Tamandua tetradactyla: one gene and its partner. The protein of the gene in region 2 interacts with the protein of the main gene of each other region in a biochemical or structural test. Links are inferred from orthologs where the notes say so. Each region holds a gene or a part of one and is shown on either strand. Other genes may lie near its edges. The genes, in order: MAX and MXD1.

What was found.
Region 1: the proteins of MXD1 (region 2) and MAX form a complex in vitro, tested with the Homo sapiens proteins (4 studies listed by BioGRID, with this or other methods). The link is inferred for Tamandua tetradactyla from reciprocal best matches to the Homo sapiens genes MXD1 and MAX.

Annotation. Positions count from the first base shown.
Region 1 is NC_135338.1:22,363,563-22,380,568, forward strand, and holds the start of MAX (protein max), read right to left. Parts: upstream 8,258-17,006; 5' UTR 7,959-8,257; coding exon 7,923-7,958; intron 7,194-7,922; coding exon 7,167-7,193; intron 1-7,166. UniProt on the Homo sapiens protein: Transcription regulator. Forms a sequence-specific DNA-binding protein complex with MYC or MAD which recognizes the core sequence 5'-CAC[GA]TG-3'. The MYC:MAX complex is a transcriptional activator, whereas the MAD:MAX complex is a repressor.
Region 2 is NC_135343.1:43,427,521-43,443,835, reverse strand, and holds the start of MXD1 (max dimerization protein 1), read right to left. Parts: upstream 8,047-16,315; 5' UTR 7,792-8,046; coding exon 7,719-7,791; intron 7,375-7,718; exon of another isoform or gene 7,166-7,374; intron 6,992-7,165; coding exon 6,892-6,991; intron 1,382-6,891; coding exon 1,352-1,381; intron 1-1,351. Other genes in the region: SNRNP27 (U4/U6.U5 small nuclear ribonucleoprotein 27 kDa protein), read right to left, coding at 15,990-16,044. UniProt on the Homo sapiens protein: Component of a transcriptional repressor complex together with MAX. In complex with MAX binds to the core DNA sequence 5'-CAC[GA]TG-3'. Antagonizes MYC transcriptional activity by competing with MYC for MAX binding.

The DNA of each region.
Region 1 (17,006 bases), on a different chromosome or scaffold from region 2:
TGACTCTACTGCAATACCAGTCTTCCCCCCAACTTACTATGTGACAGAACAGCTGCCAGTTGCGGGGGTGAATGAACAAGGAAAAGTTCCAGTGGACCCTTCCATAAGATATGATCACCCTTATAGTAGACTTCCCATGGTGGGTATCCAGAGAAGGGGTTAAGTCATTGGTGCAGTGCTTCCTTCTGCATGAAACTCATCACTGTTACTCTCTGTTTTGGTCTCCAGCCCACTAAAAGGTACCACTTAGGACCTTCTTGTCAAATCATACATTAGAAACTAAAACCTCCAGAAAACCCAGACGCATGACTCTAAAATCTTTATGACAAAGCTGATAGAAGAAACAAGCTGCATTCTGAGTTCTAGTCTTTTAAAATAGACCAAAAATGTTATTTAACCAAGGGCTTCCCCTATACAGGCTATGCCAAAAAGGTAATAGTTTCTTAGGCAGATCTTTTGACACTCACATGCTCTGAATAAATTTTCTCAGGCACCTGCAGCAGGTCATGCTTATTTGGTATATCTAAATATCCAAAGATCAAAGTCTTTATCTTTCCTGCTCAGAACCACAAAGAGGGACAATCAGCTGGAGAGGGATCAAGACTGCCAACAAATGGCAAAATGCACTGACTTCGAGCAAAAAGAGATGATGGCTAAAGAGCACTGCAAGACAGCTTCAGCAGGTCACCATTAAAAAGGGCATCCTCTGCACACAGAAGACAAACACTTAACCTACAGCAAGAACTTAATCACATCTATACTGTGGGAATTATGGGAAACAATATCCTCTTGAGAATTTATCCTAAATATAAAGGCTACACTGAGCTTTCCTAAAGAACACATCTGTGTATGGGAAGTTTAGGTAGCTTTAATCTAGCCAACACACCAAGAATGTTTAAAGTGAAGCAACAAGAGTAAACAACTCGGCTTAGCACAAGAATAATGCTTTCTCAAATGAATTCCTACATTAGAGGAGATATACAGCAATTATCTATACAGATGAAGAGTTGGGGGAATGAAAGGACTTGAAATTCTATTATCTAATCCTAAAAGTCTGAGTCATTACAGAGGAAGAAGAGGCTGGGAGCAGCTGTGGTAATTTTAGTTACTTCCTGGTCTCTCCAGCACATCACCTCATCCAGGCTGTTGAATATGATACATAGTGCCCATCACAGCCATGGTTCTTTATCACATACACTCTTCTCCAGGGCAGAGACCTGGAGCATTTCTAAAGCTCGTCTTCTCTTATTAAGTCTGATTTCACTGTACAATGTACCTGCTGAACCACAGTGATACACTAAATATTATGAGGAAATGAAAGGACAATCAAGCTTGAAATACTTGATAAATTGAGACTAGAGAGCTACCGTGTATCATACATCATAGCAAGAAAACTGCAGATGCCTTCTAATAGCAGCATGAGATAGTTTGAAGGAATAAAACATATTTAAATACCTAGTCCTTTTCTACCTTACTGTTTTCTCTAGTCATCTATACACAGGTAAATTGGTCTGGGTTCTAACTTGGACTATAAAGAGCTTAGAAGGTTCAGGCAGAACAATTTGGCATGTATGTGACTCTCCTGTTTGCTATATACTCCCTTAAGATGGTTTATTTACATGTAAATTAATTACCCAGCTTTGGTGTCCAGCAGCAGTCTCAGATATTCCTGTCTATTAAATCACCCTGAATTCTGGCCCTCCTCCCAGCTTAAGAGCTGTGCACAGAAGCAATGACACCAGTTACCCATAATCCCTCTTGTTGATAAAATAAAATTCTAATTGTCTGTTTTGTTTCTGGGAAAGCCCTGCAAATCTCCAACAGCTAGAATCAAGTTGGACTTGGTTTCAATGAAGCCTGGGTTAGAGGGGTGGGGCGAAGTATAATCTAGCACTGAAATCATCTGCATAATGCACTACCCCCTTCCCATTCACTGAGCCCTGAAAGGACTCAAATGGACAACAAACCTTTTGGTTAGAGGACTGTAAGTGAACTTGGCTGTGGACCATCAGCAGAAATCTTGGCTGCTTATCTGGAGAGCCAGCCAAGTTTGAGAAGTTGGCTCAACAAGGAAAGGCAGCAGTTCACTGCGTGGTAGAAAGCCTGGGCTAGGGAATGATGTTCTCAAAGTAGTGGATGGAATTTCTGTGGTGGTTCCAGGCCCAATGTAACTAGAAGAGTGGAATCTTAGACCAATCCCTGCTGCTATGTCTATCTCCAAGCTGCAACGCCTAAACAGAGTTCATTTTAAAGCTCTTGGAGATGATGGCAAGGATGAAGTCTCCTCCTGCCTAATCCTCATTTGAAAGACCAAGCTAGAAATATGCAGAACTAATGCCTAATTCCAGGCAACTCTGAACTGAACGATACCTTTAGTGGCATGAAAAACCTTTACACAAGGCTGAGAGTACTGTCTGGGGAAACGTTTCCAAACCACAGATCCAACCAGCCCAATAACTCTGCCTCCTTCCTCCAGCCTCCCCCACCTCTGCCCCTGCCCCCCCCCATTCATCCAAATGGAAGGCCAGGTGCCAGGCTTATCACTGCTTTGTAACTGTTTTTGCTTACTGGCAATTCTTTTTGAAGGGGCCAAGATTTCAGAGCTGAGGAAGATAAACTGGATGAAGACACTCGGTGTGCAATATCTGAGATTCCCCACACACACCCAAAACTGGTAAAATAAATTAAATAATTAAACAAAAGGGAAACGGTCAAACATTGTGTCTTGAATAAACAAAGCTCAACTCAGAGGAGCCTATACTGAGAAAGATTTTTGATAATGAAAGAGCAGGTGGTACTGACAGTACACTTGTAGAATTAATGAGGCACTGAGGCACAATTCTAGGAGAAAACAGAGTTATCCTGGGGATATAGAGCAGGCATCCAAATAGCTCCTCTACATATCTTATAGGGGCAAATGGCTGGAACCCTGCCGCTCTTCAAGTAGAACGGATCTGCAGTTTCTGCCAGAAAACTCTATCTTCAGGGCATCTCAGGCTAATAGAAATACTAAAGGGCTGCGTGATACTGAGGAGTGGCCCACAGATGCTCAACAGGAACTCCTGCACCAAATCGCTTCCAGCTTTAACATCTCTGCCAAGGTTTTTATCAAATCTCTCAGTTTTATTTCCATTAAGCTTTTCCCACTGGCAGCCAGAATAAAAATCTTCACCTACAATTTGTCCATCTTTGACACTATCAAGCATTTATATTTTAAGTGTTGTTAAATGTTGAAGGCAAACATTATTTTATTAACCAAGACGCTGCTAAACTGGCAGAAGATCATCGAAGCTAAGGAGGTCTCTTCAAAATTGAGGGATATCTCTTTAAATTATTTCCTTTCAACTTACTGCATAGAGAATACATCTTCATTCAAGTCATTATATTAGATGGCAGTCTTATTTCCTGCAAATTCTGGGCAAACAGCATGGGGAAATAAATGTTTCATTTTTCATGGATGCACGAGTTTTTCCAGAACAATGACATTTCTCTCAGGCTACCTGATACCTAACCCCATCTATAAGGAGAATCTCTTAATTCCAATACAGAAAATTCTCAGCACAGAAAGAATTGTACTTGCACACTAAACATTTATTGCCTTTAAGAAACTTAAAGGTTGCATTTTAGAGGGAAGGTAGTGTTGTTTATGATTATTATCAAGCGCTTATTAAACACTAACAACATTAAAACTGGAAGCACAAAGGCCTAAAATTCTCATCAGTAAAGATAATTTATTACTTCTATCTGATAAAGAGAACCAGACAGAATAAATAAAACAATTTCTAAGTCAACTTAAAACATTCCTTTTAATAAACATGAAAATTGCAACATGAAATAATGGGCAGCTAACATAAGATGAACTCATACTCAGCCCTAACAGGAAAATATTAATTTCAATTTCCCAATACCTCTCCTTCTTGAAGCCAATTACCTGGTATATATTTCCATCATCATCTAATAAATAAGTTTGTTTTCAGGTTTTTTTCTATCATTTGGTGCCTAAGAGAACCTGGGAAGACTATCATCAAAATATGTCATCATATGATACCCATTTAAGAGGAAGGATGCCTTGGTTAGGAAATGTTAATTAAAAACAAGTTGGATTCCTTGATCAACTATTTCAGCATTAGTGGTATCTTAAGAAAAAAAAAAAGGCTTTTTAAAACTTAAGAACACCCTTTATTCTGACAAAGAGACATATTAAGGAACTGAACTTGACATTTTTGCATCATTGTCAACATTCTAAGCAGAGATAAAGTATGTACATGGTGCCACAGTTTTGCCATGCAACTGATTCCAGGTAAAATAAACAGTAGTTTCCTGGGTGAATTTCAATCTCAGAAGTGACCCCTCATCCCGTTCTGAATACACTGCAATTCCTAAAGAAGCAAAGAATTCTGGAAGTTAAAAATATTTCATACCAGAAATGTCCAGAAGCAGAATTACACAATACTGTTTTTAAAATCCTAACCAGCATACTATAACTGCAATGCAATCAGCTGCTATGAAGAACAATATGTTGGAAAAGGCCTTTGGTTTTCTGATCACACACTAAGCCTACAGAAGTCTCACATACTTTCATTCTTTCCAACAGACAATTTCACAAACAGAAATAAAGAACTCCTTGCAAAAAATATACCTGTTTCAGAAATTTATCTTTAAAACGCAATCTTTCTCTCCAAACAAACGAAAAATAAATAAAATAACATCAGTGGAATTCTGTGATGTACTGAATTTAGCAATAAAAAATACTGTTCGGGTTACTTCCTTTAACAAAGCCTACTGGTCACTGGAGAAGCTGTTTTCCTTGTGCACTGAGGCAACAAAAAAATATATTCGTCAAATCAGTTTCACTTTCTGTTCAGTTAGCCTCATTTCCTAAGTCTGCTCTAGCTGATTATCCTACATTTCTCATGTAGTAAGGCTGCAATTACTGTAGTGAGGCTATAAAACATGAATGAGTGTCTCTTTTTATATTATAACCCACAGAACCTTTTCAAATAACTTTAAAAGTTCTCCTATAGTCCTAAATACTTGGTTGTTCAGTCCACACCCTTTTCTGAACATTTTTCCTAACGCAAAGCTGAGGAATAGCCAGCCTCCCCTCCCAATTTTTAAAAATATATTTCTTATCTATACTAAGTCTCAGGGAGTAGAGATGAATTCACAAAGCAAAAAAAAAAAAAAGAAGAAGAAGAATCCTTTTCTACCCTACCCATTCACAATATTATTTGAGATACTACGAAATTCATCCTTAACATGTCTGCTTTTTCTCCATGCTGTTGTGATGATCTTGTGACAGGTAATATTTAAAAGGGAAAACTCTTAGGTCACCTTAACACCAAATTAAAACATCTAGGCAAAATGAAGATTAGCATTCTATGGAAAACATTTCAGTAACTTCATATACCAGTTTACATCAAAGCCTATGAGGATGAATACTATAAAAAGAGGAAAGTTCTCAAGAAGTGTAAGTTGAAATCTCACCAAGAAAACTTTATTCTCACTAGAAAGCCAAAAAATTCCAATTCAAAGGATGAATCTGCGCAAGAGGGCTTATGAGAGCTCTATCCAATCACTACTTTCTGACCCTAATCAGGCCCTGAGGTAGCTCTTACAATAATTATGAAGAAAAAAAAATATTTTAAATAGAATTGTCCACATTATTAAGAAGAATAATTGAAAACAAGGAATACAATTTTCAAATTCTATTTCATGTATAAATAGATGTTTGTGACAAAGCTTCAAAGAAAAATAAAGCAAAACAAATTTTTTTTAGTGACTATTACCCAGGAACAATTTTTAGGACTTCTGGAACAACTGCATCCTTAGATCTTAAGGAACTATCAGCTCTCAATAAATAAAATTTTTCCTAATGCCCCTCTGCTTAGACCATCTGCAAGATCTGTTTGCTCTAATGAAGAGCTGGTACACGTAAGAATGCTTTCCTTTATTCTGTGGTTATTAAATTCATATACCACTGGTACCAAAAGGGCCTCCTGCAAACCCTAACCAGCCCCAAACAGCTTGACTGTTCCACACACATCATTTTAAAAATCAGAGAAACAGCATAAAAGTACAGATCTCCAATATTTCTTGAAATACAGGAAAATCTGGCAACACTAAACCCTTATCCCACATGGTAAAAATCTACTGGAAGTGAGTAGTAGCACCGTTTTAGGAGAGGTATGTGCTCCACTATTCCCCTCTTTCTACCACTTTATCCTGACCATCTCACTGCCTGACTCCCACAGGCATTTCTATACACTTCTTATTGTTCCCTACTTTTAATTAGATTTTGTTATCCTTATTTCTCTTCCCCTCTCTGATTCTGATTTGTTTTTGTCTATTTCCTTTTTTCTTTCTCTAATCTATTCATAGAATATCCACAGTACTGTCTCATTCTCCAACGTGAGAGTACTGTCTATCTAAATTTACAGAACTGAGAACATAAATATCAAAGCCCTGAGAAATTATTGATAATACTTTGTGTGGTCTCATCCATCACCTCTTAGCAAACCTTTCTCCCCAATACCACCTCTCTTCAACAATTTTGGTATTTTCTTTATACCTTTCCTTCAACTAAAATATAAAAAGAGTTAGACCACAATCAACTATATGTGCCACTTTCATACTCAAGCTTTAGCTCTTTTAAGAACACTGCCAATTTGTATCATGCTGTGCTAAATCCTATGAGTCTGTAACAGTCACATGACTTAAGGTAACTTGCATGTGGCTTCAGCTTCATACAACTCTACAGATATAGTTTTGCATACTACTTATTCTAAGTAAATCTTCTGACCACATTCCCCTGAAATAATCCTACAATTTACTTCAGAATGCTGAAAGCAGTGTTTCTCATTTCCAACTTACATTCTGTCAACTAAACCCTCTATGTGAAAGCTACAGAAAGAATTCCTTTCTTTGCATACAGCTGCTCCCACTCACCTACAGTCACTGGAACCTATTACCTGAGAATCTAGAATTAAGAGATTTGCAACCTCCCCCCACATTCAGAACCCCAGAACAAGGCCCCACCTCACCTTAGTGGTTAACAGGAGAGGCTACTTAAATATTAAAAGTAATAGAACGATATTTTTCTCTCTAACCCCAAAAGGATTAGAACTGAACGGAAATGAAAATGAAATGGAGAGTAGGAGACGTACCGCAGATTGAAACCTCGGTTGCTCTTCCTGGAATAAGAGAGAAAAAAATAGAAAATAAAGAAGTTATTTTTACACTTCACATTCAATAATAAGAAAGAAAATGCCGGCGGCAGAGGAAGCGGCGGGTGGGGAGTCAGTCCGACCCCCCTTCCCCCCCCCCACGTTCCCCTCCCCAATCAGCGGGATCCGGTAGTGGGGCCGGGGGAGTCCCGAGCACCGCCCCTCCTTCCGGGATCCAACCTGGGTCGGGGGGGGGGGGGAGCGGTCCTGAGCACTTTCTCCTTCCCTGGACCCAGCTCGGGGCATCTGGGCACTCCCAACCCCTCTCCGCCCTCCCTCATTCTCCAGGATCCGAGGGTCACGAGGAAGGGATCGCAGACCGAGGGTGCAGGTCTTGAGCGCCGTGCTCTTCCCCAGGATCGGGACAATAGGATCCTAGGAGCACCCCATCCCTGTTCCCTGGATCCTGAACCAGATAGGTTGGGAGCGGGCGGCCGTAGCACCCTCATCCACGAGGGGAGGTGGGGGTCCCAGACGCCGCGTGTCTACCTTCCCATCTCTAGTCCCAAGAGGCCTCTCCGGCCAGGAGCCTTAAGAGGAGTGAGCCCAGAGCGCGACAGAAGCGGTCCCGGCCCGGAAGGGAAGGTAAAGGAGGAGGCGGCGGCCCGACCCCCTCCCGCCGTCGCCCGGCTGAAAGCCCCGGTTGCTGTCCCCGCCTGACAACCCGCCCGGGAAGGAAGAAACCCCGGGACTCACGTCGCTCTCCACCTCGATGTCATCGTTATCGCTCATTTCCTACGGCCCAGGGAGCGGCCACTGCAGCGGCGGCGGGGAAGGGGGAGGGGTGGAGGGGAGGGGGAAGTCACCGACAACAACAAGCCGAGTCCCCCCACACACACACACAACACACACACACTCACACTCACTCACTCACTCGCTCTCTCTCTCACATACACGCACACACACACACACACACACAACACGGGCGAGAACCACCTCCTCACTGCAGCACCAGATCAACGGCGGCACGCACGCCCGGTCGGCCCCCTGCCACGTGACCGAGCTCGTCACGTCTGGGCCGCCGCGACTTGTAGTTCTCGTCCCTTTGACTGACCCCCCCAGCCGGCGCCAGAAAGACTACAAATCCCGTCAGGCACTGCATGAAGTCGACGCCAGCCCGGCTTGTTGATGGGGCCCAGAGCGCCTGCGTGTCCCGTTGAGGGGGCGGAGAGAGAAGCGGCGCGGTGCCTGCTGGGAGTCGTAGTCCACAGACCGCGAGTTGTCAGGAGGGTTCCTCCCAAGGCAGCAGAGGAGGCTTCTGGGAAGTGAGGACACGTGGAGGGGTCGAGGGTTGCTGGAGCTGGGCGCCGTCTGAGTTCAGGGCGCCGGGTCCAGGGAACACCGTGGAGGTGCTTGAGGAAAAGCCGGCTCCTCAAATCACGCTGCCTCTCCTTGGTGCGACTTATTTTACTTGTCTTGATATCTGGGGCGTAACCCGCCTGCTTAGGGAATCCTGCTGCTGTGGGCTAGGCGGCGCGATTTCGGACGCCCACGCTGATTCCAAGATGCGGCTGTGGAGAGGAGCTGTCAATGGAAGGTCTTAAGTGGTGCTATAGGGACGGGCAGGATGACTGCTTAGCCTTGGGACTGCTTGCAGCCACGGGAATCTTGTAGTCATCCATCCAGGAATGACCATTCTTTTTATTCACGTGAGGCTCATACATTCAGACCTCCGACTCTCAACAATTGTTTCCATGGAAGTAAAAGCCCCTTTTGAGTTTGTTATAGTCAGGCAGTTTAGGGAGTGCCCAGTTAAGAATTTCAAAACCATTTAAAATCATATTTAAATGTGTGCGAGGTGTGATCACATCCATCCCACCAGTAATTTATTAAACACCTAACACGTGCCAGCATGGGAATGCCATAATATTAAAGACCGGAACGATCTTTATAATGCCGCTCACAGATGTGGAAACAAAAATGAGACTGCCTTGCCACCATTGTAAAGAGGAAGAAAAAAACAATTTGGAAAGACACTTTCCACCCTGAGATAAGCAAAATTACCGAACTACTCTTGTACATAGATCTCCAAAATGAATAAAATTTTGAGCATTTCCCATAGATTATTAATTATCTAATAAAAACCATTTTACCCTTGACCTTTGAATGTGAGACTCAGGCTCCCCATGCGAGCGTATCATCCATGCTGAAAAGGCAAATGTCAATGTGGCAATTTCTCCTTTACACTTCCTTTATCTATCGTATTTCTTGTTCAATGATCCATTCTACTGAAGTCTGCATATCATTTACAAGTAAACTTAGTTTTTCTTAATGCTTTTGTCTTCCTTTCACACTGTATTCCTTGCACAACTCTTAAGGGAGACAGGCATAAGTAGACCATTATGTGGTAAGAGCTGATAAAAAAGATAGCTCTTGGGTGAGTTAATTAAATTTTGGAAGCTAGGACTAATTGAAGGTGACAACAAATCACTTTCGGGTCTCTGCTATGTGCAAGCACTATAGGGCAGTGATTCTTAACCCTTGTACCGTGACAATCTGCTAAAATCACCCCAAGAGCTTTTAAATATCCCCATGGCCAGGCCATGCTCCAAGTTAATTAAGTCAGCTTTTGGGTGTTTCCAGTGTTACCTCTCAGCCTGAGAACCTCTGCTATAGAGGGTGCCAAGACAAATAAGATGGTCTTCCACTGAATCATACTTTTTTTTTTTATAGGTGCACGGTCCAGGAATCAAATCCGTGTCTCCCGCATGGAAGGCGAGCGTTCTACCACTGAACCACCCATGCACCCTGAATCATACACTTTTAAAGCACAAATTTTATAGTATGTAAATTATGTCACTAAATCTATTAATAAAAAAATAAAATAGTTTTGCCCTCCTGGAATTTAAAACTTGATAGGGAAATAAATTATGAACAGCTGTTGCAATGAAGACATTATTTAAGTGCCAAATTAGTGAACTGGGTAGTGAATGCCGTACTTTCTCAGAGGATGGAGAAATACTCCCAGATCTGGAGTGAGAGTGGGAAGTTCTGGATGGTCAGGGAGGTTTTAGGCTGTCAGACAGTTCCATCAGAGCAAGAACTGGGTTCTCAGAGACTGGATCACATTTTTCTCACCATTGAATCCCTATTTGATGGGTGGATGCTTGGGGTTAGGAAGAGCTGAGGAGGAAAGACTTTCCAGGTAGAGAGACTGGAGATTTGAACATATCTCCTTTTTAGTAATTGGTTTAAAATATGAAGACTTGTCAACCTGATTAATAGATTTGACTTAATAGGCATAAAACTTGGCATCCAAACAATTGTAGAATTTATTCTTTTTAAATACTCATGGACTATTTACAAAAATTGACAAGTCATAAAGCAAATCTTAAGTTTCAAAGGTCTGCGATCTTAGCATGTTTTCAGACCTAATGCACTTAAACTAGAAATAACGAAAACAACAATAAACTAGAAAACCTTCATAAGATTGGAAATTAAGAAACACTTTTAAATTCCTCTGTTGGAGGGACTTTCATGAGCAAGGCACATATGCGGGAAGACATTAGAAGTAAGAATACAGAGAAGTTTCCTTTGGTTTTCCCTTTCAGTGTTTTTCTGATGTGAATAATAATGTAGAACTCTAAGGATGCATTTTCATCTCTGCACACTTGAATTTCTTTGGTGATGCTCTATGGGAGCTTATCAAGACTGGAGCTTGTCACTGGATAGATAGCCCAGTTTCCCTAGTCCCTTGCTACTTCAAATGTGGTCTATGGACCAGCTAGTTAGAAATGCAGAACCTTAGGCTCCATCCCAGATCTCCTACATCAAATCTGCATTTTAATAAAATGCTCAGGTGATCCATATGCACTGTCTTTGTTTCCTGGCTGTTAAGAAAAATACCACACAAGGGCTGGTTTAACAACAGGAATTTATTATCTCTCATTTGGAGACTGGGAAGTCTTGCTTCCTCCTGGGGTGGTAGCGTTCTGGTGGTGGCAATCCTTGGGTTCCTTGGCTTTTGTGTCACATGTGATGTCCTCTCCTTTCTTTTCTGCTTCCATTGACTTTTGGCATCTGGCTCCTCTCTGTGTTTTTCTCTACTTCTGAATTTCATTCTGCCTTTAATGAACTACAATAATCAGGATTAAGGCCAGCCTCATTCAGTTGGGCCACACCCTAAATAAAATAACATTTTCAAGAGATGCTATTTACAGTGGGTTCACACCCACAGGAATGCAGATCATGCCCAAGAACATGTCTAAGTTGTGGTCCGTAATTCAATGGACCAGATACAGATTAGAGTTCAACTAGCTCTGACGTGGGAAGAGGGGGGCACTGAGTGTGGGGGACGGAGAAACTGCCTTCATTTTCTCCTCAGCTGTTTTACAATTTGACTTCCATCTATCACTTAACTAAAATTGCTCTTATCCAGGCCAACAGCTACCTCTTTATTGCTAAATCCAAAGCCCTTATCTTATTTGACCTAATGGTGGCCTTTTACAATGTTGACCACTCCTTTTTCTTTTTTTTTTCGTTTCTTTTTCTTGAAGGCCAATAACTCTCTTGCTTCTCTCCTTGGCTGCTCTGGTTCCCATCCTCTGGTTCTTCTTGCCCTGTCAGTGGCGAGTTCCAGGGGCTCTATGGCTGGCCCTTACCTCTTCTCCTCTGACCCTCTGCCTGGTAGGATCTGCCTCCTGAGGCATTGATAACCATCTCTCATGTGGTGACCCCAAGCTGTTTTGCTCTCTTAAATTCTAGTTTGTTATATTCAATTTATTTCTGGATATATCTCCTTGGGTTACTCGATCAACAACTCAAAAGTCAAGACTTAATGAGTGAAGAAAAGCAGGTTTTGACACAATATTTGGAGGATGATCTATTCACAGAAAATTGAACATATATATATGAGTATATATGTATGTGTAGAGAGATGTTAGTAAAAGGATATTCAACAAAAATACTAATAGTAATTATCTCTGGGAAATGTGATTTCCTTCCTTCCTTCCTTCCTTCCTTCCTTCCTTCCTTCCTTCCTTCCTTCCTTCCTTCCTTCCTTCCTTCCTTCCTTCCTTCCTTCCTTCCTTTCTTCCTTTCCTTTCCTTTCCTTTCCTTTCTTCCTTTTTGAGCAGTATCATTCTTGCCAAAATAGTTGAGCTATTAAAACACAGCCACTATCTTAATCATTTCATTATCTTTCTAAACCAGCGAACTTCTCAAGCCTTAGTGCTTAGGCATAAAGTCACATCCTTTTCCCATGTTATGCTCATGCTCTCCTTATTTGGGGGAGGAGGGTGTAAGCACCAGGCTCCCAGCAGGAACCAGCTGGCATATTTAAGTTAGATTCATTGGAGGAGCCGTTAAGAAAGAAGTTATTTACAAATATGTGGGCAGAAGGTAAAGAAACGACCGGGGTTTGTACGATACCACTGGGACTCTGTTCCCAGGCCTACGCCTGTAGGGGAGAAGGGATGGCATGGTTCTTGAACTGGGAGAGCAGAGGCTGTGTGTGGAGAGAGCTCTCTGTCAGGAGCTCAGACCTGGGCGTTGTGAGGGATGGGATCTCGAGGAGCAAAAGGAGGACCTTAAGCACAGCAGGAACCCTTTCCTCCTTTTCTCACATTTTCAGAGAGGGAAGGGGAAATACAGGAGGAATACTTCTAGCACCTCTGCCCCTCATTTATTTTCCCTTAGAGGAGGAGTGACTCATCAGCTTGGTGAGTTTGAGAGGAGAAGCTGGTTGTCTGTAGCTCAACCTTTTCTCCCTGAGCTGTTAAGACACACTTCCCCTACTCTCCTGTATACAAGAAGTCTGTCCGTGGGGAGGACGCCTGGTTGCCCAGCTGTGCTAGGACTAGGTGGGTACAGTTCATCCAGGAGAGCAATACCAGAAAAGCCACAGGTTAAACCTCATTCGCCAACTCAGCCTTATCAGTACTAAAGCTTCTATTTTTGTCTCTATCTATCTGACTTGTGTCTGACTAAAGTGGTTCCAAATTCAGGGTGGTAGACCAAAATGTTAATTATTGGCAATCTTAAACCCTCAAACCCCTCTCTAACCCACTAACCTCTCATCCAGTCAGTCAGCAAGGCTGTTGGGTTCCAAGCCTTTCATCCCCCACTGTAATTCCTGCCTCAGCCAGGCCTCTGCCACCTCTCACCTGGACAGCAGACTCCTAAAGAATCTCCCTGCTTCCAATCCCACCCCTCTCTTGCCCACTCTCTACCTTTTAACCAGAGCGACCTATCAGGAATGAGATATGTTCACTTCCTTGATTAAAATATTTCAAACCTCCCGATACCCTCAGGATAACACCCAGACGCTGTAACTTGGCTTTCGAGACATTTCATGATTTAGTTCCTTTGCCAGCCCCATCTTTCAGCTCCTGCATTCCACATTCTAGCCATGCAGAATTTCTTGCTTTCCACCCCCACCCCTCTAAGGATCAGGTTGTCTTTTCCCTCCAGGGATTTCCACATGTTGCTCCCTCTGCCCTGAGTAGTATCTACCCCAAAACAATTCCTACTCACCCCCAAGTTCTTCTCATCTTTTGGGGCTTAGCTGTTACCACTTCCAAGAAATCTTTCTGGATTCTCCAAGGCTGGATTAAGTACCCATCTACTGTTCCCATACCCCCTGCGACTTCTCTTCTCACGCACTTATTGTTCTGTTTTGTAACTTCCTTTTTGCACGTCTCTCTCCCGCACCAGATTCACTGTAAGCTCCTCAAGAATCAGTTCCATTACTTGTGATAGCTTTATTTAGGACAGAGTTTTTCACTTACTGGTTTTATTCCCACCTCACTGCCTGATTTAGTGGTTCCTTCTCTACTTGATTGCAAGTCCTTGGAGCTGCAAGTCCTTGGAGCTCAATTCTCTCCTCCGGGTGAACACATCCATTGTCATCTATATGTTGATGTCCTTCTAATTCAGACATCTTCTTAAAGCCCTCCTCACAACTATTACAACTGTCGTCTCTTAGAGTCACTTAAACATCTCAGACTTACCTCTTCAAAACAACTCCTGAGTCCTCCCACCCTTCCCCAACCTGATCCTCCACCAGTCTTTTCTCTTCCTGTTCCCAAAATTGGTGCCACCATCTGCGCAGCTACCTAAACCAACTACCTAAACTGGTAGTGACCTTTCAATCCTCCTTTTCTCTCTCAGCAGTGTCCCTCCCCCAGCCCCTCAATACCCCTTAACTGTAAGCCTCTTGAATCCATTTTCAGAACATGTTGTGCTCAGTTTACTTTTTCCTGTCTGTACTGCCTCATCTTAGTTAAAGAGCCTAGCACACAGGAGGCATTTAATAAATCATTTTTCAGCTAGAGAAGTTGGTTTCCCACCTCTCATTGTCCCTACTCTAATTCAATCCCCACCCAAACAGCCAGAGTGATTGTTTAAGATGGTAACTTGGATCTTGGCTTGGTTCCTTACCCAGCCTCCAAGGCCTACGGGGTCTAGCCCCTGGTCACCACTCTGACCTCAGCTCTCAACTTCCTGCCTTCACACACTATCCCCAGGTTTCCCTGGTGTTTTGTGGCCTCCTCCTGGTTACAGCATCATCTTTGTGCTTGCAGTACCTGGCTGGACTCCAGTTTCCCAACTCTGCAAGTGGTCATCTTACCTTGTCTCTGAGAGGCTATTGTAGTTTGTTGTCTAAGATCAGCAGCATTTATCACCACCTGTTTTTATTTGGTGTTTACTCGTTTATTGACAATGGCGCCACCAGACTGTGAGCTCTTTGAGGTTGGAGACTGCTGGTTTGAAACTGTTCCGTACCCCAAAAAAGCCGTGTTCTTTTTCCTAATCCAATCTAATGGGGCAGACCTATTGTTTTGGTGGGATCTTTTTTTATTGAGTTATTTCCATGGAGGTTGTGGGTAGGACATTTTGATTAGGTGGTTTCCATGGAGATGTGCCTCTGCCCATTCAAGGTGGGCCTTAATCTACTTACTAGAGCCCTTTAAGAGGGAACCATTTTGGAAAAAGCTCAGAGTTGATACAAACAGAGATGTTTGGAGATGCAGAAAGAAAACACCCCCGGGGAAGCTGTTTTGAAACCGGAAGCCAGAGGACCAGCAGACACCAGCCATGTGCCTTCCCAGCTAACAGAAATGTTCTGTGTGCCATCAGCCTTTCCTGAGTCAAGTTATCCTTCTTTGAGTGCCTTGGTTTGGACATATTTATGACTTAGTACTGTAAACTTGAAACTAAATAAATCCTTTTTATAAAAGCCACCTGTTTCTGATATATTGCATTCTGGCATGTTTAGCAAACTAAAACAGAGACCTTACCCACCTTGTTCCTAGTCAGATCCCTGCTACCTAGCATGGTGCATGGCTAGGTGTATTGTGTATCTACCTAGGAATTGTTCATTTCAATCCTGTCATAGTCTATAAACCACATGGACAAGTGAACTATTCTGGAAATACCTGGAAAAAAGTCATGAAGATGGTTCACTTTTGCCAGGAGGGCTAAGTAGAGCCTGTATTTGAACGTCTTAGGGCTGATGGGAAATTAAGAGGTTACTGTTTGGGTCCTGCTCCACATGGTGTGCTTGGTAGGCTGGTCTCTGCTAATAATACCCAGCCCTGAATTATTCTCAAAATGCCACTTCACCAATTTGAGGATTTAGGGGTCAAGGTGGAGAGGAGGTGAATAATGTCAAGGGCCAATCTGTGTTTAGCCTATACCTTACCCTGTCCTTGAATTAATTTGACTCCTTTGTCAGAAAACCAAAGGCCTTTGTTCATAGCTTTTGTCAGAAAGAGCCAGCAGACAAAGTTTTCTTCATTAATGTCAGGGTTAGTTTCCTAGTATACATCAGAAGTTTGTTGATGGAGGAGAGAACTTTACGGGAAGATGGCAGAATAGGGAGTTTCAGGGCTCACTCCTCTCTCTAAAACAGCTAATTGACAGGCAGAATCTTACTGAAACAACTGTTCTGGGGCTTCAGCGACCAGGACAGTACTGTGACATCCAGGGAGGAACAGGACTAAGAGACTGAGAAACTGTTGTGAAAAACTGTGAGTAACTCATATAGCTTCCAGTGCTCACCCCCCATCCAGGAGGCAAGCAGCTTCAGGATGGCCTTGTCCATGCCTGGTGGGCTGCTGTGGATTGTGAGGGCTATGGAAGTCCACCTTACCATGAGCAAAGGGGGACATGGCCCAGTAGCAATTCACCAAGAAGAAATAACAATCACAAATATTTATGTACCTCATGTATTTCGGCGAACAAATTAGACAATTTAGAGGAAATGGACAATTTTCTAGAAACACACTGTGCTGGTTTGAAAGGATTATGTACCCTAGAAAAGCCATGGTCTAATCCTAATTCAATCTTGTGAGAGCAACCATTTCTTTCAATCCCTATCCACTTTATAGGTTGGGAACTTGATTAGATAATCTCCATGGAGATGTGACTTACCTAATTGTGGGTATTAATTAGAGGAAGATGTGACTCCACCCATTCCAGGTGGGTCTTGATTAGTTTACTGGACTCCTTTAAAAGAAGAAACATTTTTTGGGAAGATAACAGAGCTGCAAGAGAGCCATGAGCCCAGACAGCCAGAGACCTTTGGATATGAAGAAGGAATATGTCCCCAGAGAAACTTCATGAAACAAGAAGTCTAGAGAGAAAGCTAGCAGATGTCACCATGCTCACCATATGCCTTTCCAGATGAAAGACAAACACTGAACATCATCAGCCTTCTTGAACCAAGGTATCTTTCCCTGGGTGCCTTAGATTGGACTTTTCTATAGCCTTGCTTTAATTTGGACATTTTCACAGTCTTAGGACTGTTAACTATCAACTTAATAAATTCCCCTTTTA
Region 2 (16,315 bases):
CATGAAATAACCATACATATTTAGAGTCGTCGTTATATGTCATTGTTCATGCAGGCAGAGGAGCCATTCAATCTGGGTGGGAACAGGTATTTCAAATAGAGGGGGAGCTCAGAGACCAGAATGAGGCTCACTCAATGGTTCCTAGCTCTGGCTGAAAGTGAGACTCACTGGGGGAGCTTTTAAAACATACTAGTGTACAAAGCAATCAGTATACAAACTAATTAGTGTACAAACATACTAATGTGCAACAATTAAATCAGAATTGCTAGGGGTGAGGTCTGGGCATTGGTATTTTCTTATAAAGCACCACAGAGAATTATCATTAATTTTTTCACCATGATAAAAGCAAATGACTATATTTTTACCTATGAGAGATAGAAACAAATATTTAAAAGTCTTTATCTATGAGAGATAGAAACAGAAATATTTAAAGATAAATGTGTAGGATTTGCTTTAAATAGTCCATGGAGAGGGATGGTTCTAAGTATACAAGATTGGCAAAGCATTGATAGTTATTGAAGATACACTGGTACCCAGTTTATTAAATTATTGTCTCTAATTTTCTATTTTTGAAAATTTCTATAATAAAAAGTTATTTTATAAAATCAGCAAAAATAACATTTGTTCTCATCTCCCCTCTAAAATGTATGTTTTTATATAATGTATTTAATATAAAATGTTTATAAAAATAAAAGCCCTGCAAGTGATTCTAATGTGCAACCAGAGGTGAGAACCACTAGGATGCATCATTGAAGGAGGGGAAACTTGATATGAAAAATATTTAAACAAGCAAGACAGTAAAACATGAGAGACTCATGAGACTCATCTCAGGCCTGTGGCCAGATCAAGCCCAGTGAGGACAGCAGGCTTCCTCTAGTCATCATCATCTCCAATTTTTTTGGCACACATTTGCCTGAATTTTGAGAGTCGTCATTCACAAGTAAACTGCAAATATATTATATATATATATATATATATACACACAACACATGTGTGTATGTGTGTACAATTTAAGAAAGTACTGCTAATTATAATTAGTAGCATGCAATTTAAGAAAAACACTATTTGTAGAAACATTACCTATAGCCTAAAATTCTTTGTGCTAAGTAACAGCCACAAAGAAAAGCATTCTTCAGGAGTGGGCCTGGGGTGAGGGTTGGGTGTGTGGTCATTGGCACTGGGGAACTCTTCGCCTACCTGAAGTGGGCAGTGCTGCTTGGAATGTTCTGGGTAAACTCTTAAACCAAGGTGTCATTAGTAGGAAGCATCAAGAGGAGCAACCAAGTCTCAACTTAATGAATAGAAAATGTATCTAAACTCCCCTTATCCCATCTCTCAAACTCCAACTCACCTATTCTTCTCCATTTCATTGTGAGTTGATCTGAAAGAGAGAACAAAAGAAAATATGATTATTCTTTGGTCTTGAAAGACTACGTCAACATCAACACAACTGTTTGAGCTTCTTTTTCTTCATAGGTAGTAAAACATAATGTGGAGAAAGAAAAAACTAACTGGACTCTACTAAAGAAATTAGTCCATTTGGGGAGTCAGATAAATGCGAATATCTAAAATGGAGTTCAAGGAAAAGTAATCAAATAAAGAGGCATGCCATTACCTAGTGGAAAAGAAATCTGTTTCAAAGAAAGAAATAAAGGGGTCATTTCTACAAAGAGAAAAACAGCTGCACAATGTGATGCAAATTTGGTTTATATAATATCAGAAAGCTTTCTTTAGGCTGAAGGTAGAACAGTGGAGGTGGCAGCCCCACCTCAGACCTGCATTTTTTTTATGTGTAGTAAACCATAATTTTGTGTTAAGTTGTTTAACTACAGGAAATAGTTTAAAATGGATAAAATAACCACCGAATCCATCCCTATCACTCTGCCTTATCGTATACAACCTCCTGAAAGATGCTACTGCTAAACAGCTACCTAATGATTTTAGGAAGGAGTTTCCAAAACTCAGATCAGCATAAAGACAACTGGCTGGTTAAAGCAGTAGTGGGTGAAATCTGAAGTCCAGCTTTGTCACTGACTGGTACTGTGGAAGAAATTAAATTGTTTACCATCCTGTCTTTGGTTAACCCCTCTGTAATATGGGAATAAAAATAATAGGCAATTATTTACTGAACAAGCATGGATCAATGAAGTAGCAACTGTAAAGTGATTTAAGAGCTTTCATCTGTGGTGGATGTGAAATCACATTAGCGTTTTTATAGCTGAACTGGAACATAAGGTCTGGTCTAAGAATTTATGGACAGGTCTCTGCAAAAGTCACGAGAAGTCAGTCAACATGGCCACTATAGTGTCCTTCCTCAAACAGCTCTTCCCTACTTGGGGAGCTCAAGGAAACTCCCAGCATTATAAAGGAGCTGAATCTTGACCTTTCTTAAGGAAACTCCCTGGAATCCGACCAGCGCAGGAGATTACTCCCTGGTGCAGGTTGTGGATTCTGTGGGGCCGTGACTGTGATCGGAACCTTAAGGGCCTAGGAGATAAATTCTCACAGTAATTATGGAGAAACATTACCTTGTGAATGCTCAGCCACTCGCTTACATGAGGGAGGCCCAAGTTTACTCACATGAGGGACCAGTGCCAGGGGGTGAGGTGGGGGGGTTGGGGGGGTAGGGGTTGCTCTGGAATTCGGAAATTTCTAATCCAGCACTAAAGCTTCTTATCTACAGGCCCTTGTGATACTGATATTTTTATTCCGAGGGAAACTTACAAGAAAATAATGATAGTATTTAAGATTTAGAATATTGATTTTCTAGATAAAGGATATGTGGATGTTAAAACTGGTTAACTTAAAAGCTTTAAACTGTTTTTTTTTTTTTTGGTCATCCCTTCCTCAGTGTTCTTCAGTCACATTTTTCTGAAGGCTTTTACTTCCTGCAATGGCCAGCAGGATTAACAATAACCTGGCCTGCTTGCAAACCTTTGGTTTTAAAGCACATGGCACTTGCTTTAATAACCTGTTGAATAACAAGTTCAAAGTCTGGCAGATTTTTAAAATGGATGACAGCATATGACAGTAGCTGATCAAGATTTCCCTGTTGAACTATGGACAAGATTTCCATGCTAAATGAAGTAGAGAAGGAGGGGAAAAGAGAGGTTGAAAGGAACATTATCTCTGGTAATAAAAAAATAACACACTGGGTATTTTACCAAAAAATTCTGGATGCTTTGAAAATAACTTTAAAACACATTCCTTAGGAAGCACAATTCCTCTCAAGCTTTGGATAGAATTCTGGAAACTACAGATCTTATTTGTTTACTTAAAGAGTTTTGAAAACATGGTGATTTTTTAAGGGGGGTTATACCTAATAACTGGTAATTACTGAGGTACATTTGCTTTGACACTGAGTTGACCTTTAATAAAAAGCAGGTCTTCTAAAAATGATCAGTTCAGAGATTGCCTGCCACCTCTATCGATGTAACATTTAGATTTAATTAAAGCTTTAGAAGTGTTCTTCTAATACATAGATACCTTGTGTCAAAAGATTTGCCATGTGATTATTGAATGGATTTAATTCTGGAATCATTAATAAAGGTTAAATTTTACCGTTTAAAAATGTATTCTAACAAAAAAGATAACATAAGCCAATTTAAGAGTATCTGAAAAATGGGTGAAGTCCTTGGGATCAAAAGCACTCCCAATGTCAAGTCAGCTACGTGGCCACTGTCATTTAAAAAAACTGGTAGCAAGTCTTAAACTTCCTCTTTCACATCAGTGCCAAGACTAGCCTTATTAATTTAGCAAAACACATTTTAGATCATTCTAGATTTCACTTCTAAATAGTTAGCAACTGATTTTAAAAATCAGTAGAAAAGAAAAAGATTCCATCTCCCTGTATTCCAGCAGTTCTCTGGATGATTCCAAAACAATCAATATTTATGATTTTGGTTTTGCTGTTTTTTTTTTAAACAAGCAAATGGAGAAACTTGATTAGGATCTGCATTTTCAGTTCCCAAGAAGTCTGATATGTGGTTAAGTCTTTTTAATGTCCAAGGGAAATACCCCCTAGACTCTAAAGCAAATAGTACAACATTTCAACCTGAATTAACAAGAATAAACTGCTATCCAATGGTTAAGTAAGCCAGCAGTAATCTTTCCTTATTCCTTGCCTTAGTTCAGAATTCTAACCACACATGGCCTTGGTTGTAAGTCTAATTCAAATCAAAGGTACAAAATGCATTCTCTGTTGAGATGTTTCACTGCTCAGGTAAGGATTATTCCAAACAGGTCGTGAAGGAAATAATCACATTTCAACAAAACAACCTGCTCTTGCTTCATATATTTACTTGGTAACACCTCCAGGTTTAATCATGGCTTCTCAGGGATCACTGAAGATGTTACATTAAGTATTAGTCAAGATTAGGGACAACTGTACTAGCCCCATATCTCTAAACATGGAAAGCAAATCAAATCCATTAACAGAAGTAATAAAGCTTTTGTCAAAAATCAGGAATTGCAGCCATTTTTCAAGACTAATGCTCATCAGAAAAAAAAATTCCATTTCTTGGCTTGAAATTCTCAACTCTCATTTTTCTTTCCTAATCACCCTGTTGGACCAAGTTACTTTTCTTCAATAACACCCTCTCCTTTTCCTCTCCCCACCAATGAATGAGCTTCCTTCCACAATGTCCCAGTGAAACTTAGGAAAAAGAAAGTGTTAAGGTATTAAGCCTTGAAGATCAAAGTGGACAATGCCTCTCAAAGCCTGAATGAACAATAAAAACAACAAACTGATTACACTTTTCCAGAAAAACGAACTGAAAGGCCTCAGTTCTTCCAAACAAAATTTTAAAGATACTGTAACAAAACGGAACATAGCTTAATCATTTTCATACCATTACATAATACAAGCCAGTAATAACATTCTTCTTAAGGGGTCTTAGTTCTGCATGCACAGACCTACTGGCTACCTCCTTCGTCAGGTAATGTTAAAGATGGCAAAGCAAGGAAAAACCACCTGGTTTTCACCTGGCTTATCCTTCATCCTTCTTATTCAAGAAGGCAGCATATGTATGCTACTCACATCTTGTGGTTCCACCAACACCAAAGACAATGGGTGAAATAAGGACAGGAGAGACAGCAAGAAGGAGTTTTAGGGTTTAAGTGGGAAACTCCTGGCTTTTAGTGGTCTGTATTATGCCACAGAGGCTACCCAATACATTTATTTGGAGGGAGTTATGCAGTAGGGATGGGGGAAGACGAGGATTCTAAACCAGTGAAGAAAATGTCAGTTATTTTAATTTACAAGCATGAAAGGCATAATTGAATGGAACTTTTAGAACAGATTTCCTAGTCAAATGATATTATAACAGCAAAAAGGGAAAGAAAGGGCAACAGTATTGATGAAGCATTTATATGTGCCAAGAACTATACTTACGACTTTAATATGTAATTTCATTGACCATTAACCAAATACTTTCCAGTGAGATTCACACCTTTTAAGAACTGTAAGGCATTTTTTCTTCAGAAAAATTTGATTTTTACTTATTTTAAACATTGAAAGAAAAATCCAAGAGGAAAAGGAGATATGTAAAAGGTTGACTGGAATAAGAATCAGAGTAAAACAAAAATAAAATGCAATGTTAATCAACGCTTTGGAAAAGTATTTGCAGTATCTAATGAAGTTGAACACATATAAACCACATGACCAAGCAAATTCACTCCCAGTAATAAATATACTTAACAAAAATACACCTGTATGCTTACCAAAAAAATGAATACTAGTTGATTTGCAACAGGGCTAATTGTAATTGCCCAAATAAGAAATTACCCACATACCTACCAACATTAGAATAGGTAAATAAATTGAGACATAATCACACTATGGAATACTGGACAGTAATGAGAATGAATAATGTACAACTATACGCAACAACATGAATAAATCTCACAAACATAATGTTGAGTGAAGGAAGCCAGACACACCTAAGAATGCACAATATATTTTTTCTCACTTATACGAAGTACAAATATAGGCAAAACTAATCTATGCTGTTAGTCATCAGGTTAGTTGTTTCACTTGGGGTGGGTGGGTAGTGATGGTAAGGAGCACAAAGGGGCCCTCTTGGGGCTGGTCATTTCTGTTTCTTGATCTGGGTGCTGGCTACATGGGCATTTTCAACCTCTGAAAATGTATCAAGCTGTACACTATAAACTTTTGAAATGTGCACTTAGTATTATTTGTTAAACAAGAGGTATTTTAACAATTTCAACAAAAAAGTTTTAAAAATGCAATGATCTGTGGTAAACTGTAGGCTCTATCCTAGTCATTAAGGCAGTTTTTAAGGCTAATATGAAAGGGTTGTGGCACAGTAATATTTTAATATTATATGTTTCTCCATCACCACCGAGGTAACCTTCAATCTCAACAATTCCGTGTCGCTATAGATATAATTATATTATCAAACCACTGCATTTAATCTGTATGTGAAATATGAAATCCTACCATCCATGCCAAGTCAGAGCCTTTAAACTGTTTTAAATGTTCACTAGGAAAAGAAACTGAAAATGTCCAGCATTTTCAATTATAATAAACTTGTCCTGAATCTGACAGCAAAATATTGTCACCGTTGCCAATCTCACTTGAAGCTTCCACAGATTTTTGTTCCAAAAGGGATGAAAAGCAAAATTAGGGGGGAACAAAAAAAGCTCTCATAAAGAAATAGGAAACGTTTCCATTTCTCTTTTCTTTTCAGTCCCTTCAATCCAAACAGAAAGGCTGCTTCCTTCAGTGGCTTAGGACCATGTGTGCATTACTGAATTACGATCTCCACTGAATGTATTTACAGGGTTATAATCATAACTGGCAACTTACACCCTGCAGTTTGTGTTACCTACAGTATAATTTAAAAGAGAAAGAAATATTTACCAAATTACCTGCTACTGCTGTTATTCTTCTTGGATTTGTTCCTCCGTTTTAAGGCATCTCTGTCCTTGTTATTGTATGGTAACATGGAGGCATAACCATGTTCAGCTTCTAGAAAACCGGAGGATTCAGTTAATGAATGAACCCAGAACATTCAATACTCTCTCTCCTCCACAGTGTTTCTTTTTCGATTTTTTTTTCTTTAACAGAATATTGTGGAAATAATTAAATGGGGCAAGGTGGGCTTCTGAGAACAATGATTTTTTTCTTTAATTGAATGAGTACCCTCAGTTCGGAGCAGGTGTTAGGAGGATTCCAGCTGCTCATTGTTGAGAGACCCAGCAAGTCGCTGAGCTCCTCGAGCCCGGCTCTCCCATTCAGCCCGTCCAGCAGTTTGGTGAGTGGAAAAGCCGGACCAGCCTCCGGGAAGGTGCGGGGAGAACACCGTGAGCCGGGGGCAGGGGAGGCTCTCCTCCTGCGCGGCGGCGCGACGGGGCGCCAGGCCCACTTGGGGACCGCTCGGGAGAACCCGGGTGAGGTAAACCCGAGGGGCCGGGCTGAGGGCCCCCCGGGCACCCCACTCGCGAGGGGCTGCGGGACGGGCGGCGCTAGGGACCCGGGGAGGGGGGTCGCCCCGCTCGCACCCCCATTCATTGCCTCCAGGGCAGCGGTGGCCTCCCTGAGGACCGCGCGTGGGAAGACCAGAGGGGTTGGGAGCACTCGCCGTCGCGCTCTCCGCGCCAACAACCCCCGGAGCCGCCGGGAGCCCCGACCCGCGGCCGGTCCCCTCAGGCCCCCAGCCCCGGCCCGGGCCAGGCCCTTCCCCGTCTCCGTGCACCTCTCTCCCGCCGCTCCAGGTAGTCGGCCGCCTCCAGCAGCATCTGGATGTTCCTCCGAACCGCCGTCGCCATTCTGCACCGGGGGCCGGAGCCACGGGACCAACCCCCACTGCCCACGGGCTCGCCGCCGCGCCACCCGACACCCGCGCCCAGCTGAGGGTCCCGCGGACCAGGCCTGAGGGGGTCTCTCTGATGACCACGCTCGCCGGAGGGGGGAGGGGGCCGGTGAGCTGGGCACCGCCGACACCGTGACAGAACCCAGAGAAGAGCAGCAGCCGCCACCGCCGCGGAGTGTTTATCCCCGACTCACCATCCCCCCCGCCCCCAGCCCCTTCTCTTGACAGGCCCGCTTCGGCTGCGTTCCTCATTGGATAGCGCAAAGAATGCCCCGCCCCCAGCCTTGTCCGATTGGGGGAGAGCCTGTCTGCCCCACCCCCCAAAGTCCGCTCCTCTCGCTGGTTGGGCACGCTTGACAAGGCCCGGGCTCCACCCCCTCTCCCCAATTGGTGACAGGATTCGCAACTCCGCCTCGTGCTCCCTCCCTGTTTTCCATTGGTTCCCTACCGACAACCGGGCCCCCTTTTGCTTTGTTAGTATTGGCCAAAAGCTACAGAAGGGTTGCTACTTCGCCTGTCTCCCATTGGTGGAGCCTTCGGAAACCTCCCAGCTACGATGATGTCACCCTTCTCCCGGCCCGGCGAACCCTGAGTGGCTGGATGTTAGCGGCCAGGCTATTCCTTTCAGGGTCTTGCATCGGCTGCGAGGCTGGCCCGGGCGCTGGGCGACGCTGATTCACCCTCTCCCGGCTTCGACCTGTTGCCCAGACCCGTCCCCAGAGAAAACTTCCGGCGGCCGAGGGCTCCGCCGCGAATCCTCCTGAAGGGAGGCGGTGGTTCTGGGCCCCGCGGGCGCCACGTGGCTGTGGGGTTTGAGGAGAAGCGCCTCTTAGCGTTAAATGCTCGCGGTCCCTATTTTCCTCTGCTCGGACAGCAGAGTCGGGCTGTGTAACCGGCGTTGAGCTCCTCGCCAGAGGAGATTTTTTTTTTCTGGGAAGTGATGGTATAATTAATTACTCCCTCACGTGAGTGGGTGTTAAAAGTGGAGAAAGTTCTTGTGCTTACAAAATAACGTTGAACTCGGAGATTCTTTTACTTAAACCTCTTTTAGGGTCTCTACCTTTTAATTCGAGATGAAAAAATTCACAAAACTACCTTTTGAAAATGGCTATCAGTGTTTGTGTGTGTGTGGGTGGCATATAAATGCTTAATAGAACGGTACAGCGACAGAAATAAAAAGTAGATTAAGGATTTCTGAGGTGAAAACTCTCATGAGACCCAAGTTACTTAGTTAATATACTGACATCGCCAATTTAAAAGGCAGAAATTAAGCTCTTGGTAAATTGTCCTGAAATTAAAAAATAAATGAGTAAAACATATTTCACAGTTTTTTTAGTTTATTGTTGCCATGGATTATTATGGCAGCTTATTAATGTGTTAGGTAATTTACCTACATTATCTCTAGTCCTGGGTAGGTTGTTTTAATTATCTACAGTTTGCAAATGAAGAAACTGAGGCTCAGAAAGGCTAAGTGACTTTTCCAGTCATCCAGTCAGCCTCAGAGATGAAAACTGAAACTTTGTCTATCTCACCCAGACCAGGTTACTGATCTGTCCTGGCTGTACTGGAGGGAAGACAGTTGAACAGATTTCCAGTTTGAGTCATGAAACACTGAGACTTAGAAACACTGGGGAAAAAGAAAAAGTTACTGTAATCAGGACGAGAAATTTTTAACTTGCTGCTTTTTTAATGATTGGCACCATTAAAATTAAATGAACTCAACAGAATTAATATGTAATAAACTACATCTGATAAACAGAAAACATTTCCTGGTTTCAGTGGTTAATTGGATCTAAAAGCTGGTTCTTCATGAAAACACTAAATATACATATTGAAGGTAAAGTTTTTCAAGAAAGCATAAAACAAAGTTGGAAATGAAAATGGGTATATAACAGTTTTACAGAGTTTTTAAAATTGCATCTTATTTGTAAAACAAATTTGAAAATTGTAATTATATGGGTGTGATGCTACCAAAGCACCAAAACTGACAATAGTAAAAACACTTTGATTTCATGATCTTAACATACTGGATTTTTTATACTTTCATATTTTCTCTTTGATTTTATTATAAACATTTCAACACATCTCTTTACTCTTTCTCTCTTACTCTCAGCACTGCAATTTAAACTAGGTTGTAATTCATCATCATTATCCTTCCCCTTATTGAAAGAATCTCTCTGTCTCACACATACACACTCACACAAGAAAAGGGTTGAGATCTGGAGTCAGAGATAAGTTAATAATTTAAACACCAACAAAAGTCTAGTTTAAACTCCAAACAAAAATACTAAGTTATATCAAAATCAGAGTACTAAACTAAAAGAAGGATCGTTTCTCTTCTGTGGCCTCAGGAGAAATTACAATTAGCCAGCAACACAAAAGTAGGAAGGAATTACAAAAAATTCCAAAGGGTATTTGGTGCCACCTACTGGAGGTGAAGCAGTGTAAGTATAAAACAAAGGTTTGGGTTTTTTTCCTTAGAAATTATTTTTCACAGTGTATACAATGACCACTTAGTTGTTCCTGACAGTACGAGTTTTGAGGAAAGAACTGAAAAAAAAAACCACAATCTAAAACAAAAAAAGTGATGAACCCCTGCACCTAGCACCTCAGAGGCATTAAGTAAGAATTGACTGATGGGTTCAGCACCCCCAAAATAAAAGTTGGGAATTCCAGAATGTTTGAACCTGAATTTTATGAACAGAATTCTTAAGTAAAAAGCTATATGTAATAGCATAAATACAGGTGATAGATAATTTATATTTTTGATTAAATAAAATTAAAATAAACTTATAGAATTTGATAAATCCATTTGAAAGTGGGGAAGCACAAAGACTTGTCAGCTAAACTTCACTGTACTTCTTTAAAGGTTGAGAGATTTATTCAGTCTCCTTTCTTTGAGGGGCTTATACTCCAGGTGGGCAGAGGATAGTATATTAAAAGTAAATGCCAAGCTAAAGTGTGTGGCAGGTTATTCAATGCCAGAGGAATTCTACTGAGAACCTCTTCATGAGTACCTCAGTGGCAGGGAATAATAGTAACATAATCCTTGAATGTCAAAAAAGCTCCCAAACTGTGGGAATTAAAACACTATTACTGATTTTGACACCTTATGACATTAAAATTAATTTTGTTTCATAAGTGTTTGGGGAAATTTTTTATTCAAAGTGTAAAAATCAGGACTGGACATTTCTGCTTCACTAATACCAAACCTTTTCTTTGTGGCTACTTTGGAAGACTTCAATATCATGATATCCAATACTGTGATACTAAGTTTTTAAAGCCTTTAAAAATGATACTTGAAAAAATCACCCCACAAATATTTGTGATTTGAAAAATAGAGCAATGACTAAGTAAACTATGGCATATCACTCCATGAAACACCATGTAGCAGTTAAAAACCAAAAGAAGTAGACTTACATATCCTGGCATGGAAAGATCTTCAGGGCATAGATTCAGTTGTAAAATAATTTCTATAGTGTGATGCAATGTAAACAAGCAAACCCAAACTATGCATCCCTCATTTCAAATTCTGTTACATACATATATGTGTAGACAAAGATCTGGAAGTATCCACTGCAAAGGATTAACAGTGGAGTGGGACAATAGGATCAGGATTATGGTGCAGGTCAAAGGGGACTTAGCTTTGTCATAATATTTTACAAAAAAAAAATGTATTTATTACCTGGGTAGCTAAAGGTTAAAATGAAAATCAGAGGAAATGGTTAAGTAAAAAAAACTATATCCACAAATTCAATCGATATTTACAATCTTTACTTGCCTCGTATTGAGTGATGTTGGGGCTACAGCAGTGAATGACACAGGAGCCCCACCTCTCAGTGTTCGCTGTCTAGTGGAAGAGCCAGACAGTAATAAATGGATATAGAATATGTCAGGCTATGTGGTATAACCTGTGAAGAAAAGTAAAGGAGGATTTGCAAACCATGTGGAGAAACTGGAACCCTCATACACTGGTGGTGGGAATGTGGTGTAATCACTTTGGAAAAGTTTAGCGGTTTTCAAAAAGTTAAAACACAGAGTTACCATATGACCCAGCAATTCCACTCTTATGTAAATACCTAAGAAAACCGAAAATGTGTTCACACAAAAACTTGCACATCAATGTTCATAACAGCATTACTCATAATAGCCAAAAAATAGAAATGTCTTATCAACTGGAAAATGGATAAATATGTATATCCATATAATGGAATATCATCCATCCATGATATATGCTACAATGTGGATGAACCTTGAAAACATTATGCTAAGTGAAAAAAAGCCACAAAAGTCCATATATTTTATAATTCCATTTATATGAATGTCCAGAATATGAAAAGCCATAGAGTCGGAAGGTGATCAGGGTTGTTAAGAGTTGATGGGAGGACATGAATGGGGAGTGATGGCTAGTGGATATAGAGTTTCTTTTCAGGATAAGGAAAATAAAAATATTCCAGAGTTAGATAATAGTGATAGATGAACCCCTCTGTGAATACAGTAAAAAACCACTTTAACTGTATATTTTAAAAGGATGAATTTTATGATTTGTGAATTTTTATCTTAATTTTTTAAATATTAAAAAAAAAGAGGGGAGATAGAAGAAAGATTTGCTAATTTGGACAGTGTGGTCAGAAATAACCCCAGTTCGAGCAAGGCCTGAATGGATTAAAGAAGCTACCCATGTGAATATAGGGAGGAAGGGGAACATTCCAGGAAGAATTCTAGGAGCAAATGGAAAGACTGTGAAAGAGACACATTTGTTCTCAAAGAACAGGAAGGTGGCCAGCCAGTATGGCTGAGCACAGTGAGCCTGCTGGAATCAGGGTCTAGATCTTATAGAGGCTTGTAGTCAAGTAAGGACTGGACTTTACTCTAAATGATGGAAAACTGTGGGAGACAGGAGCAATGTGACCTGACACTCCACTGTTGATGCATAAACCGAGGCAGCAAAAGCAGGAGAAGGACAGACTTATCAGGAGGCTATTGCAGTAGAAAAGGTGAGAAAGATGGTGGCTTAGATTGGGGTGGTAGTGGTACAGGTGGTGAAAAGTAGATTTAAAATATACTTTGAGTTTAGAACCAAAAGGATTCACTAATGAATCCAATGTGGAGCATGGGAGTAAAAGAAGAGTTGAGGATGACTCCAAGGATTTTGGTTTGTGCAAAGGACTGAAAGGAGAAGCCACTTACTGAAATGGGGGAATCTTCAGAGAAGGTTGGACAGGGAAATGAAAGTTCACTTTACCTTAAATTTGAGGTGCCTATTAATCTTCTGGGTGGGTGTACAAGACAGGAATTCAGGAAAATGGTCAGGTTGGAAGTAGAAATTTGAGAGTGAAGGCAGATGTTTGTAGCTACAGGTCTGGAAGACTCACGGAGGGAGAAATCGGGGAGTTTCCAAGGATTGAACCCTGGAGCATGCTAACATTTAGATACTTGAAAACAGAAGATTTGGCAAAATGTATGTCCTCTGAGAGCTAATACTTGTTAGAGGAGAAAGACAAGGATGCTTCATCTTTGTCATTTTTCCAGAATCAAATGATCTGATGGATACAAGTTCATGCAAACTAAGACTTCCCTTAAGATCAGAGGTATCTTCTCTCTGGATTTTCAAAGATTTCCTCTTTGAAAGGAAACCTATTGACCTACAAGGTATTCTCCAATTATTTATTGACACAGTATGCTGCCTTGAGGGTCTTAAGTCAAATTTCTACTACCACCACAATGATGATGACAATCTAAAAACATAATTTGGTTTGGGGTATAGTATTTTATCCCTGATTAGCTACCCTTTAAAACAACAATTGAGTCTGTGCTCCTTCAGTATGCACAAATATGGTGAGATAGTCCTTGTCACAGATGATTTACAGATATAGAATACTTGGCAGTAGTGGTGGTGGTTGTAGAGGCATCAGGAGTCTACTTAGCTCTACTGACAAAAGTCCAAGCAAAATAATTTGCCTGCCTGGAGTGGTGACACTTGTGCCATGGAAACGTCAAGTTGTGCAAATGATATAGCATATTCAAATACGTGAGCACTGAAAGCAGTAGTTGGTAAGAATGCCAACAGTATTGATCTTCAGGATCTGAATTTTGGCAAGTCGTTTATCTTCTCTAAGTCTCAGTTTTCTTATCTAGGAAATGGAGATAATACTATCTGCTCTATCTGTCTCACAGGGATTAAATAATCAAAGCACTTTATATACTGCACCATACAATGCAGTCATATTACTATTATTTTCTTTATAGGCAACTAATCTGCCAGGAAAGTTTTAAATAGGGTGGTCAAATTTCAGGTATAATAAAGATTTTAATATCTAGCCAAAGACTTGTAAAATCATATGTGTAAAAAGATAGTCTTTGCAGAATTGTTTAACATAGCAAAAGATAAGAAACAACTTGTATGTCCTTCAACAGGAGATTAATCAATTATAATCCATACTACAGTGGATCACATATTTTAAAAAAATGAGGCTATTTCATGTACTGATAACAATCTTAAGATATACTGGTAAGTAAAAAAATCTAGGTGCAGAATGGTGTGTAGAGTCTGCTTTCATTTGAATAACATATATATAATGTTTGTGTATGTGTGGGATCTCTAAAAGGATTCACAATTAGCTCATCACTGTATACCATTTGTACCATCTGAATTATGTTCCATGTATTTGTAGAACTTACTCAAAAATATGAAAATTTAAAATCCAGCTACAGAAGCCTGAAATACCAGGAAGAAATGAAAAAAATGGGTAATGATTATTATCCTCAATATTAACAAGAGCTTCCTTCAAATAAGAAAAATAAATGCTTGCCACAAGATAAACGGATCCAAGGCTTGGAATCATCATTTCACAAAAGAAATACAAATGTTTAGTACTCTTTTTTTTGGCATGGGCAGGCAATGGGAATCGAACTCAGGTCTCGGGAATGGCAAGTGAGAACTCTGCCTGCTGAGCTACTGGGGCCCACCCAGTTAATACATTTTTAAACTGTTCATTTTCCCTAGAAATTAAACAAATTAAAACCAGTTACCATTATTTCACCTATCAGACTGGAAACTTCTTAAAAATTCAATCTCCAACATTGGTACAAATACATGAAATGGGAATGCTCATACTTTACTGGTAAGAGTTGGCTATAACCTTTCTAGTCACGTCTATCAACAGCTTTACAACATACACCCTTTTATCTCACCCAACAATGCCTAGGAGTTGAGCCTGAGGAGATAGATATAAAAAGATATATATAACAGGGATACTAGCCACAGTTTTAATTATAATAGGAAGTCATAGAAGGCAATGCAATGGTCATTAATAAGTATTACTTAGTAAATTATGGTACGACTAAATACTATTAAAAGCTAAGTTTAAAAAAATTATTTAAGAGCGTAAAAAAATTTGTTCTCAATAAATAGGAGGGGGTAAAAAGTTAGAGAAAGAACAGCAAAGTATGATCTGATAGGTAGGGGCAAGAAATATACATGCATACCCACAAGAACCTGGAAAGATATACACTAAAATATTAACACAAATTATTTCTGGGGGTCAGATTACAGGTGATTTTTGACTTTACTTTTCGGTTTCTCACAAGTTATTTTTCTAATAATGAGTATGCATTGCTTTGTATAATTGCAGGGGGGAACAGATAATAAATGGTAGAGGGGCGGGGAAACAGGAGATATAAAACTCCAAAGTAATACTTTTTCATTCTTCCAATTTTTAAACTACTAAAACCATATCTGAAAAAACAGAAAATGTCTAGGGAGATGTTTTTACCTAGTAATAAAAATATTTAACAGATACAAAAAAGTAGAAATATTGCTTTATTGGAGAAACTTACATCCAAATTACTTCCATGTTTTTTTAAAAAGTTCTAACAAGCAGAAGAAAACATACACAGCTTCCACAGGAATAAGGACAAACAAAATGGGGTTGACGATTGACCCAAATGACATTTCCTAAAAGAAAAAAATGTAATATTTAATTTTTCTTCTTTTGAGGCAGGTAAGTGAACTGCACACTTCATAAATAAGATTTTCTTACTTTAAGAGGAGGGAGAACTGAGATCCTGTTTTTGATGTAAACTAAATGCACAATATAAAATCCATTCTTCTGACCAAGATGAGGGAAAAAACATTCTTCAACATTTCAATTCTCAGGCAATAAAATCCAAAGGCCTGTTGAATCCACCTTTTCGATTCATGTACTGCCTGTGATGAGAAAAGACAATTCATAGTTTATTAAAAAAAATTTTGGACTCTTGTAAGAAAACATCATTACATGCTTCAGACATGAAACCTATAAACCACCTTTAAAATGGCAAAGTCTAGGGTAAGAACTATTCAAGTGCTATTTAATGCACATTAAGAGAATATTTTACCAATGAAATAAGCCAAAGTCTTAAAGATCTGTTTTTTTTTTTTTTTTGCATGGGCAGGCACTGCGAATCAAACCCGGGTCTCCGGAATAGCAGGCAAGAAC